Saccharomyces cerevisiae S288C: one gene and its partners. The gene in region 1 interacts genetically with each later gene. Each region holds a gene or a part of one and is shown in the gene's direction. Other genes may lie near its edges. The genes, in order: IMA5, YLR126C, DIM1 and ZNF1.

Region 1 (4,586 bases):
TTAGATGATGGTTCACTTTTACCGTTCGGATATAGTCTTGTGACGCCAACGGAGGCGTAAATAACCATGCACGCCGTCATGGTGGCTGCTCCAAGTAAAAGACATCTACGACGGCCCAACTTATCAACAGAATAAAGTGAAAAGAAGCAAGAAGCAAAATTCACAATACCCAAGACAATTGAAGTCTCAAAAGAGTCATTCATACCGACAGATTTGAAGATAGTAGTACCGTAGTAGAAGAAATAGTTGTCACCGGTTAGTTGCTGCAGAGAGTTAATCATGACTGTCATCGTTAAACGTTGAAAAACTTTAGTCTTTCTCGAAAATAATTCCTTCCATGAAGCAGTTCCCATTGCTTCTTCTGCCTCCACACCAGCAACAAGAAGATCAATCTCTGCAACCACAGCAGGATCGTCAACACTAAGCTTGTTCGACTTGGCAAAAGAAGCTTTAGCTTGCTCAATCTTACCGACTTGCACCAAAAACCGAGGAGATTCCGGAACAAACGTCATACCACCAATCATAATAATAGCCCATGCAAAACATAGACCAAGCGGAACACGCCACTGGACAGAATTCGAGTAAGTCTTGGTACCATAATTGGTACAATAACCCAAGAAAATTGCGAAAGTCACCATCAATTGCCAACAAGCTAGCAACGTACCTCTGATATGCTTTGGCGCAGTTTCCGAAATAAGCATCGGGGCAAGAACACTAATGGAACCAGCACCTATACCAGCGATAATTCTTCCAATAAAATACTGATACCACTTATCTATAGAGGCAATTTGAATGACAATACCAACCATATAAACGACAATAACTATAATCAAACCCATGCAGCGGCCGTAAATATCACCCAATTTAGACAAGAAAAGACAGCCAATGGCGCTTCCCACATTGAAGATGGACACAATCAACCCAGTTCTCACATTAGATAAGTAGTAAGTGTTCTTGGAATGGCTATAATTACCAAATCTTCTTAAAAAATCAGTCTGATTGACGAAACCAGAAATCGTACCTGTGTCCCAACCGGACATAAATCCACCGAAAGCCATACATAAACACATGATAGAAACAGTAGCATAGGCTGAAGCAGGCTTTTCTGGAACAACAACTTCCTCTGCCTCTTCCCCATTATACTCGGAAAAGTCCTTGTTTTCCTCCACTGTAGGTACTGACAGATGTGAAGAATTTTCTATCGAAGGGCAGCCATCATCTTCTGCCTCTTCGAAAATCGGTTCTTCTGGCAAGTTGGTTTTACGATCAGTCATGGTTTTTGCTGGCGTTCTGAGCTAACTAAAAGTGACTTATAAAAAATGCAATCTAAAATAAGAATGAAACAAAAATGGTCGTTTAAATATATCTAGTCAAGCTTCATCCCTTACAATGGTTAGCGATGATATTCCGTCGTCCAAAAGATTACGACCATGCCAGTTCATATTATTTTACTTAAGAGTTCATGTCTTTCATGCGAAGAAGCGTTCGGAAATTCCAAAACTTCTTAGAGTTCAGGAACAGGCCCGGTCGCGGAATTATTCTCGGGATAATTCCAGCCGCTTGGCAGGTAGGCTAAATTACACATTTCAAGAACTTTCTCCGGCCTTTTCTGTGAGATACGTTTATAAGTTGCTGCAGCAGGATGCTCTAGGCTGCTTTCTCTGGAATTTCTCTCCTTCTCCACATACCTCGTTGTTGAATCCCCGCGGAGGTGATATAATAAAGTTGCGTGAAAGCGTAAATGCCTAGACGGAGAAAAGAAAACGGGGAAATAAACTTTGCATTATTTTTCCTCCGTGGAGAATCCTCGGAGAAACACGGGAATATTTGAAACTATTTGCAACATTGTCCATTGAAATAGTCACAATCCTAGAAGCTAATTCACCGGAAAAAGTAATTCACACTTAAGAATTGTATCTTCCATTACCGCTACGGTAATTGATACGGTTTTGAGGAGTAAGTTCATAAACGTCTGACGAATTATAAATTAGGACACTTGTTCACATATCTTGGTGCGAAAAACTACTGTTTCTTGATGACTATATAGAAAGTGCTCAATATTGAAAAGAAAAACATGACGATCATCCATAATCCTAAATGGTGGAAAGAAGCCACCGTCTACCAAATTTATCCTGCTAGTTTCAAGGACTCCAACAATGACGGATGGGGTGATTTAGCTGGGATTACCTCCAAACTTGACTATGTCAAAGAATTAGGTGTCGATGCGATATGGGTGTGCCCATTTTATGACTCTCCTCAAGAAGATATGGGTTACGATATTGCCAACTATGAGAAGGTTTGGCCACGTTACGGTACCAATGAGGATTGTTTCCAAATGATAGAAGAAGCTCATAAGAGAGGTATCAAGGTTATTGTTGACCTGGTTATCAACCACTGTTCTGAAGAGCATGAATGGTTCAAGGAGAGTAGATCTTCTAAGGCTAATCCAAAGCGTGACTGGTTTTTCTGGAGACCTCCAAAGGGTTACGATGAGAAAGGTAATCCAATTCCTCCCAACAATTGGAGATCTTTCTTTGGTGGATCTGCTTGGAGATATGACGAAAAAACTGGTGAGTTCTTTCTGCATGTGTTTGCTCTTGGCCAACCTGATTTCAATTGGGAAAATGAAGAGTGCCGTAAAGCCATTTATGACTCCTCAGTGGGCTATTGGCTACGTCACAACGTTGATGGCTTTCGTATTGACGTAGGCAGCATGTATTCTAAGGTTGAGGGCCTACCCGATGCTCCTATCACTGATCCTACAGTTCCTTACCAAAAAGGAACTGAATTTTTCATAAATGGGCCACGTATCCATGAGTATCATAAAGAAATGCATAACTACATGCTCTCGCAAGTTCCAGAGGGTAAAGAAATCATGACTGTTGGAGAAGTTGGTATCGGGAATGAAGACGACTTCAGAGTTTATACCAGTGCCAAAGAAGGAGAACTAAATATGATGTTCAACTTCAAGCACACCTCAGTAGGTGAAAACCCAAAATGCAAGTACGAACTTATTCCCTTTACTTTAAAAGACTTTAAGCTGGCTCTTGCTGAAAGCTTTCTGTTTATCGAAAACACAGATTGCTGGTCGACCATCTATTTGGAGAATCATGATCAACCTCGTAGCGTTTCGCGTTTTGGCTCAGATTCTCCTAAATGGCGTGAGATTTCGTCCAAGATGTTGGCTACTCTCATCATTTCATTGACTGGTACTGTTTTTATCTACCAAGGACAAGAATTGGGTATGCCCAACTTCAAAAACAGAAAAATTGAGCAAATCAAATGCGTTGAAGGTACTGGTACATATGCCGCCATTAAACGTGATTATGGTGAAGATTCTGAAAAGATGAAAAAGTTTTTTGAAGCATTAGCTTTGATCTCTAGAGATCATGGGAGAACACCATTCCCATGGAGTGCTGATGAGCCTTCTGCAGGTTTCTCGAAGGATGCCAAACCATGGATTGACATGAATGAATCATTTAGAGACGGAATCAACGCAGAAGCTGAGTTAAAAGATAAAAACTCAGTCTTCTTTTTCTGGAAAAAGGCCTTACAAGTTAGAAAGGAGCACAAAGATATCCTTGTTTATGGACATAACTTTCAGTTCATTGATCTTGATAATGACAAGCTATTCATGTTTACAAAGGACACAGATAACAAAAAAATGTTTGCTGTTTTCAATTTCAGTAGCGATAATACGGACTTTTCAGTTCCTGATAATGAGGCCTCCTACACCATGTTTTTTGGCAACTATGCAAACTCAAATGGTGATTCCCGCACCTTGCAGCCATGGGAAGGAAGACTTTACTTGTTGAAGTAACGAGCACATTTAACATAAACGTACTGATCTTTCGAAACAAATAGTTATGCCGATATTTATGAATAATAAACTTGTATATTTCTTTTTACTTTTGCTTTTCATATGTGAGCATTGGATACTTAACTTACGCTGTACGCTATTTTCAATTGCAATTTATATATGTATATAGAAGACAGAAAATTCACTGAACCTTTTTCCGAAGAAATATAAAATAAAAAGCAACGTACAGCAGAAAAATAGAAAACATCATTATTACTGTTTCTATTGTCTAAATTTAGCCCTTTAAACCCCATCATCATAAGTACTAATTACCACGAATTCAATAATTAGTAAATACATTCGACTATTCTCACCCTAACTTTCGTCACTTTATCTTAAAACACTAGCTAAAAGTCGTTTATTATAACAAAACTAAAAATTTCGTAGTATGCACGCCTTATTGCCCAGTATTTTGTTAACTGTATGGATTGTACTAGTAAAAAAAATCTTGACGAAATTGAGTATAAACAAAATTTTAAAAAGCATAGTGCCAAATCAACAGATCTTAGTGAGGTGCAGGCCTTGTTCTTAACAAAAGCAAACCCCTCTTTATATATTGATATATAGGTGAACTAACTCAAATCATGTAAAGCTTTTCCTAAAGGAGCTGTGAGACTCCATTCCGAGAAAGTAACTTTCAATCCGCCACGCTCAGGTGTGCAAGCCATTGGTCCAACAAGGTAATGGTCAGAAGTTGGAAATGGAGCCAAACGTACTAACGGCCATG
Region 2 (4,038 bases), on another chromosome or scaffold:
TGTAAACGACTGGGCACTTGAACTTAATTCTTTAAGACATTATCTGTTGAATAGAAATATAAAGTTCAAAAATAATTTAAGAACAAGATTAGACAAATTAATAATGGATGATGATTTCGACCTGGCAGACAATTTAATCCAATGGCTCAAATCTGCTAATGGTTCCTTATCCTCTACGGAATTGATAGTCAATGCTCTTTACAGCAAAATCAATAAATTTTGTGAAGATAACATGAGTAGAGTATGGAATAAAAGGTTTATGATTATGGAAACATTCAACAAATTTATTAATCAATATTGGTCTCAGTTCTCTAAATTAGTCGGTTGTCCAGAGGATGATCACGAACTGACCACTACAGTTTTCAACTGTTTTGAGTCCAATTTTCTTAGGATAAGAACGAATGAAATCTTTGATATATGCGTTTTGGCTTATCCTGATTCAAAGGTTACTTTATTGGAATTGAGGAAAATTATGAAAGATTTTAAAGACTACACAAATATTGTAACAACTTTTTTGTCTGATTTCAAGAAATACATTCTAAACCCCAGCGTAACTACGGTGGACGCTTTGTTGAGATATGTTAAAACTATCAAAGCATTTTTGGTCCTGGATCCAACAGGGAGATGCCTACATTCAATAACCACGTTTGTTAAACCTTACTTTCAGGAGCGGAAGCACTTAGTAAATGTATTGTTATACGCAATGTTGGACTTACCTGAAGAAGAACTAAAGGAGAAAATTAATTTCAATGTAGATATGAAGGCACTGCTCTCACTTGTAGACACTTTGCACGATTCTGATATCAATCAAGATACGAACATCACCAAAAGGGACAAGAATAAAAAAAGCCCCTTTCTATGGAACCTCAAGGTGAAAGGAAAGAGGGAATTGAACAAGGACCTACCAATAAGACACGCCATGCTATACGAACATATACTCAATTATTATATAGCTTGGGTACCAGAGCCTAATGACATGATTCCCGGTAACATCAAATCAAGTTATATTAAGACAAATTTGTTTGAGGTGCTTTTGGATCTATTTGAATCAAGAGAATTTTTCATATCAGAATTTCGAAATCTCTTAACCGACAGATTATTCACTTTGAAATTTTATACGTTGGATGAAAAATGGACCCGATGTTTGAAATTAATAAGAGAAAAAATAGTCAAATTCACAGAAACAAGTCATTCCAATTATATAACAAACGGTATATTAGGACTCCTAGAAACAACAGCCCCTGCAGCAGATGCAGACCAGTCGAATTTGAATAGCATTGATGTTATGCTTTGGGATATAAAATGTAGCGAGGAGCTCTGCCGTAAAATGCATGAAGTAGCCGGACTGGATCCCATAATATTTCCAAAATTTATCTCACTCCTCTACTGGAAGTACAACTGCGATACACAAGGTTCTAATGATCTTGCATTTCATTTACCAATAGATTTAGAAAGGGAGCTACAGAAGTATTCTGATATATACTCACAGCTGAAACCTGGGCGCAAGTTACAACTATGCAAAGATAAAGGAAAAGTAGAAATACAATTAGCTTTCAAAGATGGTAGGAAATTAGTGTTAGACGTTTCTTTAGAACAATGCAGCGTAATAAATCAGTTTGATTCTCCAAATGATGAGCCAATTTGTTTATCACTAGAGCAGCTTTCTGAGTCACTAAATATTGCTCCTCCCAGGCTAACTCATTTGTTAGATTTCTGGATTCAAAAAGGTGTGCTTTTAAAAGAAAATGGAACCTATTCCGTTATTGAACATAGCGAGATGGATTTTGATCAAGCACAAAAGACCGCCCCAATGGAGATTGAGAACAGTAACTATGAACTACATAACGATTCTGAGATAGAAAGAAAATATGAATTGACACTTCAAAGAAGTCTGCCATTCATCGAAGGAATGCTGACTAATTTAGGCGCAATGAAACTTCATAAGATCCATTCTTTTTTGAAAATTACCGTGCCAAAAGATTGGGGATATAACCGAATTACTCTTCAACAATTAGAGGGATATTTAAACACTCTGGCCGATGAGGGTAGGCTGAAGTACATTGCCAATGGTTCATATGAAATAGTGAAAAATGGGCATAAAAACTCATGATTGAGGTGCAGTTTTTTACACGACTGCCACGAACAATCTCTTTTTGTCGCAAAATGTCAACGCGCGCCAAAGTGGGAAGTGGCAGATGAGGTGTACAGAAGAAAAGACAGATAAGGTTTATAATTTCACATAGATAATTGAGAAAGTTTGAAATATATACCGCTATAGCTCTGAAAATTATGCATTAACATATATTAGAATTGAATTATATCAAAAAAATACTAAGAAAACATCATAATGACAGTAAAAAAAATAGCTATTCTTTATACAGATGAAGATAACGAATGGAGTAAACCATGGGGCAATTTTGTTGATATGGCTATCAAGCTATTAGAACAGACCAGGAAATTGGAATGTATCGCAGAAGATGTCGAATATGAAGTGTTCCACGTACAAAAAAACGTGTTCCCTCAATTGTCAGATCTTCAGAAAGATGAGTATTTAGGCATATACATCACTGGTTCAAAATATGATTCATTTGATAATGAAATTGAATGGATTATGAAATTAAGAAGTTTCTTAAATGAGATGCTAACTAGCAAGACTGAATATCCGCCCGTAGCTGGAATATGTTTTGGTCATCAAGTTATCGCGGCTGCTCTAGGAAGTTCAGTTGGACGGAATCCGAAAGGGTTTGAAGGTGGGGTTGTGTCACTAAAACTGAACTCTGTGGGTCAAAAGTTATTTGGTGCTCAAGAATTAAATCTTTCTGAAGTGCACAGTGACTGCGTGTTCGATGTCCCAGAGGGATACCAAAATTGGGCGTCAAGTGAAAAATGTCAAAACCAAGGATTTTACAGGCAAAACAGAGTGCTGACGTTTCAAGGACACCCTGAATTCAATAGTGATGTCGCTCAGAAGGGGCTTTTGAAGTCTCAAGACAAGCTTACCCTTGAAGAGTTTAATAGATACGAAAGACAGTGCCAGGAGCTGGATAACAATGGCATACAAGCTGCCAGGAATATTTGGAGGTTATTCTTGCAAAAAATATGAAACAGCTGCTTGGGTTATATAGTCGATAGAGGACGTATAGGAAAGATAGCTTATAAGGTTTTTTTTTTTTTCAATTTCAACTAGTGTTGCATGAAGGCCTCGCTACGTCATTTCCTTCATTTCCCAGAATTCTGCAGAAACTTTATCAAATCACTCCAATGATCAGTATCCGAAGGTTCGGCACTACATAGTTTCGTTTATTAAGTCCAATAAATAAGCTTTTTTGTATGCACTTTTTTTTCGCTCATGCATAATGGATATAGCTGACTGAATGTCAGTAGTAATATCTGCGAGAAAATATGACACTAATTCTTGAGGTTTGTTGATTTACGTAATATGGTCCTCGTATAGTTAGAACGTTGTTCTAAAGAGCTAATGGCAGTTTCACTGCAGCGACCAAACAGGCAAGTTACACTCTCTGAGAACTAAACTTCTTGAATTGATGTCTGACCACGTTGGCATTTCCCAGTAAATTCAATAGGCTCAAATTAGCGGAAGAAAGCAATTTGTTATCTTTAATTAACCCTCAAAGAAATAGATACATCAATAAATGTCAACAGAGGCTTGAACTTATTTCACAATTTGTTCTCTTGTCCCATGTCAGGTGTAAAACTGACGGAAAGAACAACGTAAGATAATTAAGGTAAAAACAAAAAAAGGAAAGAATCTAGGCCCACATCGCCTTAGATCCACAACATGCAGAAATAGTAGCATACTTCTCCATTCAAATAACCCATTGTTTGCCTGCTTGAAAAGGAATTTTTTTTTTTTACTTTTTAATAATCCTGCTGTTTTTAGTGGCGTTTTTGTTCTCAACACTTTCCCAAGAGTATTCTCCCACCTCGCAAAATTATGGAATTTTCTTCATAATCAACCATGCCAAGAGCTTCTATAAACACCGGTGTATTTTTCAAGCCAATCTTTCATCTGAGGTT
Region 3 (4,100 bases), on another chromosome or scaffold:
CGTCTCCGTATCCTTTGATTATTTCACTGGAAATAAACTGTAACAAGGATAATCAAAAATTGGCAAGCCTGATAATGAGAGAGGTTTTAGCAGAACAGCTGTACTTTGTTGGCACAAGAACTGATAAACTGCCATCACCAAGGGAATTAAAACATAAAATACTGTTGAAATCCAAGAAGACGAGTGAAGCAACTAGAGGTCTTAGCGTTAATGAGCCATTTCCATCTTCTTTTAGTTCTTCTTACGAATCAGCTAATGAACAGGAATTAAGAATGAAAGATGACTCCACGAACAGTAGTAGCGCAACAAATTCTTCTAGTATGCAACGCATCAAAAGAATTGGATTAAAAAAGCACGCTGATATAATTAATGATGTTTCTAACATTTCTGGAATACATGGCATCAAGTTCAGGAATTTCTCTTTACCAGAGTCCAAAACGATAGCGCATTGTTTTTCACTGAATGAGCGCAAAGTAGAATACATGATAAAAGACAAACACTTAAAATTATCGTTGGATAAACATAATAGAAGATATTTGATGAGAGTCTATCCTCACGTTTTACGATACAAATCATCAAATTTTAACCCAATACCTTTTTGGAAGGCCGGTGTACAAATGGTGGCTACGAATTGGCAAACTAATGATATTGGACAGCAACTTAATCTGGCAATGTTTCAAATATTAGATCACCAACCTGATGGAAGTTTTAAATCAGGATACGTGCTAAAACCAAAAAAGTTGCTACCTGTAGTAACAAAGGCGAAAATGATTCCATTAATTTACGAACATTTTGAAAATGGTAGTGATCCTGTTACTGTTAAAATTCGAATTTTATCTACACAGTTATTGCCCAGATTGAATGATACATCGCCAAGCAGAAATAACACCAATTCCTTTGTTAAAGTGGAGTTTCATACCGATGACGAGCCGACAATGCCCATCTCAATCGATAAGGGTACAAGGATTTCTGCCACTGAAGCATCCACTAAGAGTTCTCAAGGGAATGGATTCAACCCAATATGGGATGCTGAAGTTTCTATCACATTGAAAGATACAGACCTCACATTTATAAAATTCATGGTTATCTCTGAAGAGACCCAGATTGCATCTGTTTGCCTTAAGCTGAACTATTTGAGGATGGGATATCGTCACATTCCGTTGTTTAACATGGAGGGGGAACAATACATATTTTGCACTTTATTTATTCATACACAAATTTTATAGGCGATCTTTTTCCGGCCAAATACACATATTCATAAATACGTACATATACCTACTTGCATATACCAACATGATTACCTAGAATGGATATATCAAATGGGACGACGAAGTACCACGACAATACACAATAACAACTTCTGTTTTTCGCTGATTGCCTTCTCTTCAGCAGAAAGTTGATGCATATTTCGCGTAGCGCGTTGACGCGTCTTCTTTCTGAAGTTTTGTGCTTTTGTTATCATACTATATAAAGTAAAAAGAAAGGAGAACATATTAAGCATTACTGAATTAGGATCCTTTGGAAGAAATAAAGTAAGAGACACTGAAAGATGATATCACCATCAAAAAAGAGAACCATTTTATCAAGCAAGAATATAAACCAAAAACCACGAGCAGTGGTAAAAGGCAATGAACTTCGTTCACCATCAAAGAGAAGGTCACAAATAGACACAGACTATGCACTAAGGCGAAGTCCAATAAAGACAATCCAAATTTCTAAAGCTGCACAATTTATGCTGTATGAGGAAACGGCTGAAGAAAGAAACATAGCTGTCCACAGACATAATGAAATATACAATAATAACAATTCTGTGAGCAATGAGAATAATCCTTCCCAAGTAAAAGAAAACCTTTCACCCGCTAAAATTTGCCCTTATGAAAGAGCATTTTTAAGGGAAGGAGGAAGAATTGCATTGAAGGACTTAAGTGTTGACGAATTCAAAGGTTACATACAGGATCCTCTCACCGATGAGACTATACCACTGACGTTGCCACTGGGTGATAAAAAAATCAGCCTACCCAGTTTTATAACGCCGCCAAGAAATTCGAAGATATCTATTTTCTTCACTAGTAAACACCAAGGACAGAACCCAGAGACAAAGATATCCCGTTCTACCGATGACGTCAGTGAAAAAAAAGTAGTGAGAAAACTGTCCTTCCACGTCTATGAAGATGAGTAAATAATGTACACAGTTAGCGTCTAATAATTAATTAACGATACCAATTTAATTCATTCACGTATTCCTCACCTCGTGTGTAAATTACTAACAGAGTAGTAATAATAATAAGAATCAATAATAATAATAAATCCATCCTTGTGTATTACCCGGGTTAGAGGGTAGAAAAATTTTTGAAAATCGCGATGAGCTGAAAATTGAAAATATTTGGTTATAACATAAGATCGATAAATTAGGAACAGTGCATTATACAGTGGACTCATTCGGTTAGAAGCTTTAGACGTCGTACCTTTTATATCGATACAAATAAAAATAAAATTATACCATGGGAAAGGCTGCGAAAAAGAAGTACTCCGGAGCAACTTCGTCCAAACAAGTCTCTGCCGAGAAACATTTGAGTTCAGTATTTAAATTCAACACAGATCTAGGTCAGCATATTTTGAAAAATCCTTTGGTGGCGCAAGGTATTGTTGATAAGGCACAGATTAGACCCTCAGATGTTGTTTTGGAGGTTGGTCCTGGTACAGGTAACCTAACTGTAAGGATCCTCGAACAAGCAAAAAACGTAGTGGCAGTAGAAATGGATCCCAGAATGGCTGCAGAATTAACTAAGAGGGTACGTGGCACACCTGTGGAGAAAAAGTTAGAAATCATGCTTGGAGATTTTATGAAGACTGAATTACCATACTTTGATATCTGTATTAGTAACACTCCTTACCAGATCTCATCGCCTCTGGTTTTCAAATTAATTAACCAACCAAGACCACCAAGAGTATCTATTCTTATGTTTCAAAGAGAGTTTGCTTTAAGATTACTGGCAAGACCAGGTGACTCATTATACTGTAGATTATCCGCCAATGTACAAATGTGGGCTAATGTTACACACATCATGAAAGTGGGTAAGAATAACTTCAGACCGCCACCACAAGTGGAATCCAGCGTTGTTAGACTAGAGATTAAAAATCCAAGACCGCAAGTGGATTACAACGAATGGGATGGTTTGTTGAGAATCGTCTTTGTGAGGAAAAACAGAACGATTTCAGCTGGCTTCAAATCGACCACCGTGATGGACATTCTGGAGAAGAATTATAAGACATTTTTGGCGATGAACAACGAAATGGTGGATGATACAAAGGGTTCTATGCACGATGTCGTCAAGGAAAAGATTGACACAGTTCTGAAGGAGACCGACTTAGGCGACAAAAGAGCGGGTAAATGTGATCAAAATGATTTCCTAAGGCTATTATATGCTTTTCACCAGGTTGGTATCCATTTTTCATGAGCTCTCTTATCAATTATGTAAGTGCTTGTATACTATTTACCTAAGATAAGAAAAAAAAAAGCAATTCAAAATTAAGCTTATCTTGACAGCGGGGCTGGTTTGTTTCTAGAAGACAAAAAGTGGGGAATCATTTTTACGTAACTCCCCCTGATAAGAAGGACTCACATCCTTATAGGTACGATAAAGAATGGTTGTATCTTTCCTATTTTTCGAAATCGTTATCTTATATAGTTGAACTACTACGGTTAAAAAGCTTAAGCCTCAGCCCTCTTAGTCAAACTTCTTTTTTGAAGGCACCAGGGTGCATAAAAGTGCGTCTATTGTTTCCCAGTGGAACTCTGTTGAGATAGCGATGTTTGTTTTTTTTTCACTTAACGGCAACCAATACCGATAGCGACGTCGCTGGCAGTGTAGAGTGGCCGTACGGCGTCGCTAGATGGCACGGCACTGATTGCGGCGGGAGTCGCTAGGCGGTGATGCATTTCCGCACAGGGACCAGAGGAAGCTTCCCAGGCGGTGACAGTAAGTGAACTCATTATCATGTCTTCTCCAAAACATTCGTGACATCTAGTCATGCTCCTCGCAATTCACTCCGATTGGTATAGCTTTTTCGGTAGTTTTAGCTACTATGCTTAGGGGAAA
Region 4 (4,372 bases), on another chromosome or scaffold:
GTTAGTTATCTTTTTGACAATGATCTCTTTTGAAAATATCTACTGTAGATTTGCATGGACGCACGTCGCCCATACGCCAAACTTTGGCAATGATACTCGTTATTCGTAATATCAGTCCGTCAAGGTGCTGTGATTTCTCTATTTTATATTGCCTATTATTTTTTCAAATGATTTGAGCCGTTTTAAATTGAGTATGCAATGAGTCTTTTGAATCAACCGTAAGGCAGTTCCATAACCACTGCCACGAATACGTTTCACTACCTTGAAGAATCTCTAATGTAGGCCGTATTCTTCGCACTTAGTTCTGACGATGTAGACATCTCATTATATAAGAGCATAAGCGCCTGTTTCTAGAATCATTTCTTCGTGACCCAGCTTTTTGAGTTATTTCGCGGTATTTTGAAACATTTCTCGAGCTTGACGTGAACATCCTTATATTTCATGACAAACTCGATCATTGGAACATCCCTGCCTCGATTTTAGAGCTAGTATCAAATTTCAATCTCTTTGTGATGGAGCCCCGCTCCTATTTCAAAAGAGAAGTTTCTTGTATGCATATGTTATTGAAGTCTGATTATAGCAAGTGCAATGTCGTCTCAATTATTTTAACTATTTTTAGCCATACATGTTAGTTATCCTCAAAGAGAGCCTCCAGACTGGGAAGCAGTGTTTGTCATTTCAAATAAGTAGATTTCACAGTTTGTATGATTTTCGAAGCCAGGATTCATTGGGCTTTGAGTAAAGAGAAGCCGCGTATTACGAACAGCTTACGATATTGTAAAATATTCCCTTATTGTGGTGCCCCAATGGATACATGCCAGAGAAATGTCTGTGAAATTGAACAATTACAATGACGAGAGCAAGTAATCCGGCGGCCTTGTCTCTCTTTCACTAGTACCGTCTATATCTCTTGAGCGCCAATATGCGAAAGCTTTCACAAGGTTGATGTTCATGGTATTCGGCGTCGATAGCGAATTGCTTACTAAGAAACATTAGGGTGCAGTACAGCCTTGTTTTTCCAGTTCGACTAACCTTTTTCTTGGCAGTATGGAGACTGACTAGGTCTCCCAAACATTCATTGTAACTGCTGTTTAAAGATTTTGTTCTAACCTAAATTCAAGTGAGAAGCTGAACATGTGTCTCTACTTATGATATCACGACAGCAAATACTAATCTTGCCATAAATAGTCTAGCGTTTTGCAACTTACCTCTAGATATATTTTATTTCTTGAGGAACCGTTTTCGTCGGTAATAACAAAATACTACTGAAACGCCACAGCATTGAGAGAATACGTTATCGATTACGGCTTTCTTCTCGCTCCAGATGTCGCGGGTAAGATATTCACCTCAAACTTTTCTTGTTGAGTGTCGTCACAAATCTAGAACCTACATGCCATCTCAACGATTTTTCTGGAGAAAGGCCTCACTCCGTTCCGTACGTAATGCATAGATAAAGTATCAGGATCTTCACGATGCTCGAGAGTTACTTAGTAGTCTGAGTTTATGCGAAAAAAACTCCGCCGTTGTAATAATCGGGAATACACAGAAGTAGTACTGCACTATCACTGGGATACTCAAAAACCTTCTTTTTAACTTTTCTATCCCACAAATAGAACATAGGAAAGAACATTGACTCCTCCACTTGAAGTTAAATTACAGGAACAAACGCCTAACTATAATTTCGACATTGTTGCATCAACGAATCGACCGAAAGAAAAATCTGGAGTTGCAGTTATCACTTGTATGTGCACTAAGATTTATATTTTTACTCCTGAGATCTGCCAAATCGGTAGCTTATTGAACTGCGTTCCTTTTTCCCCTGAGTTCTCGAGGTACCTGCGGCTTTGTCTGTGCCATCTCCCCCACTTTAAAGTACCCCACGTTACTACCGCGTTTTTCCCCACCCCCGGCTTAATAAATTAGCTATATCTTGTTGACTTAAATACGGAGAAAAGAAGAAAACCTTCAAGAAATGCTTCATTGTCTTGTCAAAAGAGCTAAAGTAAAAGAGCTCTAGTTCGAAGATGGCCCGCAATAGACAAGCGTGCGACTGTTGTTGCATTCGTCGAGTAAAGTGTGATCGTAAAAAACCATGTAAATGTTGTCTTCAACACAATCTGCAATGTACATATCTTCGACCTTTGAAGAAAAGAGGTCCAAAACCCGTCAAGGTGAGAAATTTAAAGAAAGTAGATGATGTACAGGTATTTAGTAAAAGTAGTAGTGGTGGCATAATGAAGGTTCCAAAGGCACTAATTGATCAGTGTCTGCGGCTCTATAATGATAAGTTGTATGTGATCTGGCCTTTGCTGTGTTATGATGATCTTTACGAACTTTTAGAGAAAAGATATGACGAAACCTGTGTGTATTGGTTCCTGGTATCTCTTTCTGCCGCCACGCTTAGCGATTTGCAGACTGAAATTGAGTCGGAAGGAGGGGTTACCTTTACTGGGATACAGTTATCCAGTTTCTGCATGTCATCACGCCAAGAATTTGACGATTTTAACGGTAGTGATATATTCAAGATTATGACGTACTATTGTCTAAACCGCTGCTACGCACAGATGTCCAACTCAAGAACTTCGTATCGGCTTTCTTGTGAAGCCGTGGGGCTCATTAAGTTGGCGGGGTTCCATCGCGAGGAAACTTTGAAACTTCTTCCTTTCGATGAGCAGCAGCTTGGAAGGAAAGTTTATTATTTGCTTCTCTTAACGGAAAGATACTTTTCTGTGTATACGCATTGCGCCACGAGCCTGGATACCACGATTGCTCCACCACAACCGGAGAACGTAACGGACCCCCGACTATCTCTCGACAGCTTCTTGGAGATGATTAGGGTATTTACTGTACCGGGAAAATGCTTCTTTGATGCTCTAGCTACCGACTCTGCTAATGTAACCTGTACTGAAGACTCCCTTAAAAAGATATGGAGGGAACTTCATACGGTGCCACTTGAGATAGAACCATGGTCTTACGGCTATGTAGACATATCTTTTTCACGGCATTGGATTAGAACACTTGCTTGGAAGCTAGTGCTTCAAATAAGCGGTATGCGAATCAGTTTCCTTTCAAATAGCAAGAATACGCATATTCCAGTAGAAATTGCTAGAGACATGTTAGAAGACACATTTTTAATCCCAAAAAATCTTTATGCAGTTCACGGTCCAGGGATATCAGTGAAAGCACTAGAAATAGCCGACGCATTGGTAGATGTTGTGAATCAGTACGATCAAAATGCAGAGTCGGAGGCTTGGAATTTTTTGTTCGATATATCCAAATTTGTCTTCTCTCTTAAGCATTGTGATAGCACATTAGTTGATAAGTTTACGACAAAGTGTCAGTGTGCGCTTATCACGCTTCCTCTTTCTAATCCGCTTGAATCGACAGATGGTTCTAAAGAAGATGTAGATGCGCTTCCTTAAGTAAACACATTGCTACTTGCATTTTACCTTTCAAGATGTAGTGATTACGGACAGTTGAAGAGGCTAATAGCATCTATTTCTTCTTTAGTATATGGTTCCTGCAGGGCAAACAATTATTTCCTTTGCAATTTTGCGGCAGTGGGGAAGAATGATAGCACTAATAGTGAACTTGTGGACAATTATGCTATTATAGCAAGAAAAAAAATTTATTTTTTTTTCAAGGGGGGTGATTGTGATGTGAATTAAATCAAGGATATACGCTTTTATCGTCATGATAGTCGTGCGATTTGTACTTGGTTATAGATGAAATGAGTTAGTTTTTAATAATTGTGATCACAATATAGCTGTACTTATCAGGCCATTAAAGTTTCCTGTAAGGTGCACGAGAAGTCATGGTCATAAAATTATCAGAATCTCCAAGGAGAGGTTCAACGGCGTCGGTTGCCCATACTCCATATTAAGTACCCTGTCATTTCCACAGTTACATTAGTTGGAGTAGTATAGAAACCAAAAAGATCAGAACTCCAATAGGCAGTATTTGGGTCACAGTATTCAGTGTCACGTTTTTTAGTTTCATAAAGAGGTCCGCAAGGATCATATCCATCCTCATCACGCTTCAAAACTGCATAAGTCACACAGGTAGGAGTGCTCTCACAAGGCGGACTATAGTATATGGAGAGATTGGTCTGTCCGCTAACGGAACCTAACTTCTTTGTATTGGAGTATTCATAGCCCATATATTCAGGCTCCAAGTATGTGGTTTGGTCGCCTATTGTGTACTCATAAAAATTAATATTCATACCATCTTCCCTTTTGTTTGTTGGTAAGCAAGCTTCTGTACTGGCTAAGGTTGTAGTAGCTAGCGCCACGAAGACCAAGAGTGCCGAAAATACGGAATGGGGTATAGACATTTGAAGGTGTGGAGGGATGCTGGTATCCTCCAATTGTTA

Evidence for each region.
Region 2: mutations in IMA5 (region 1) and YLR126C together harm fitness more than expected from each alone (negative genetic interaction), as found in Saccharomyces cerevisiae (one large-scale study listed by BioGRID).
Region 3: mutations in IMA5 (region 1) and DIM1 together harm fitness less than expected from each alone (positive genetic interaction), as found in Saccharomyces cerevisiae (one large-scale study listed by BioGRID).
Region 4: mutations in IMA5 (region 1) and ZNF1 together harm fitness more than expected from each alone (negative genetic interaction), as found in Saccharomyces cerevisiae (one large-scale study listed by BioGRID).

What each region holds. Positions count from the first base shown.
Region 1 is NC_001142.9:23,575-28,160, reverse strand, and holds IMA5 (oligo-1,6-glucosidase IMA5), read left to right. Parts: upstream 1-2,074; coding exon 2,075-3,820; downstream 3,821-4,586. Other genes in the region: hexose transporter HXT8, read right to left, coding at 1-1,274; REE1 (Ree1p), read right to left, coding at 4,432-4,586. UniProt on the Saccharomyces cerevisiae protein: Alpha-glucosidase with specificity for isomaltose, maltose, and palatinose.
Region 2 is NC_001144.5:393,830-397,867, reverse strand, and holds YLR126C (putative amidotransferase), read left to right. Parts: upstream 1-2,347; coding exon 2,348-3,103; downstream 3,104-4,038. Other genes in the region: APC2 (anaphase promoting complex subunit 2), read left to right, coding at 1-2,110; YLR125W (uncharacterized protein), read right to left, coding at 3,974-4,038. UniProt on the Saccharomyces cerevisiae protein: May have a role in copper and iron homeostasis.
Region 3 is NC_001148.4:36,620-40,719, forward strand, and holds DIM1 (putative dimethyladenosine transferase), read left to right. Parts: upstream 1-2,501; coding exon 2,502-3,458; downstream 3,459-4,100. Other genes in the region: PLC1 (phosphatidylinositol phospholipase C), read left to right, coding at 1-1,226; ACM1 (Acm1p), read left to right, coding at 1,550-2,179. UniProt on the Saccharomyces cerevisiae protein: Specifically dimethylates two adjacent adenosines in the loop of a conserved hairpin near the 3'-end of 18S rRNA in the 40S particle.
Region 4 is NC_001138.5:26,208-30,579, forward strand, and holds ZNF1 (DNA-binding domain containing protein), read left to right. Parts: upstream 1-2,024; coding exon 2,025-3,422; downstream 3,423-4,372. Other genes in the region: YFL051C (uncharacterized protein), read right to left, coding at 3,851-4,333. UniProt on the Saccharomyces cerevisiae protein: Transcription factor that regulates respiratory growth and plays a critical role in stress adaptation during non-fermentative growth.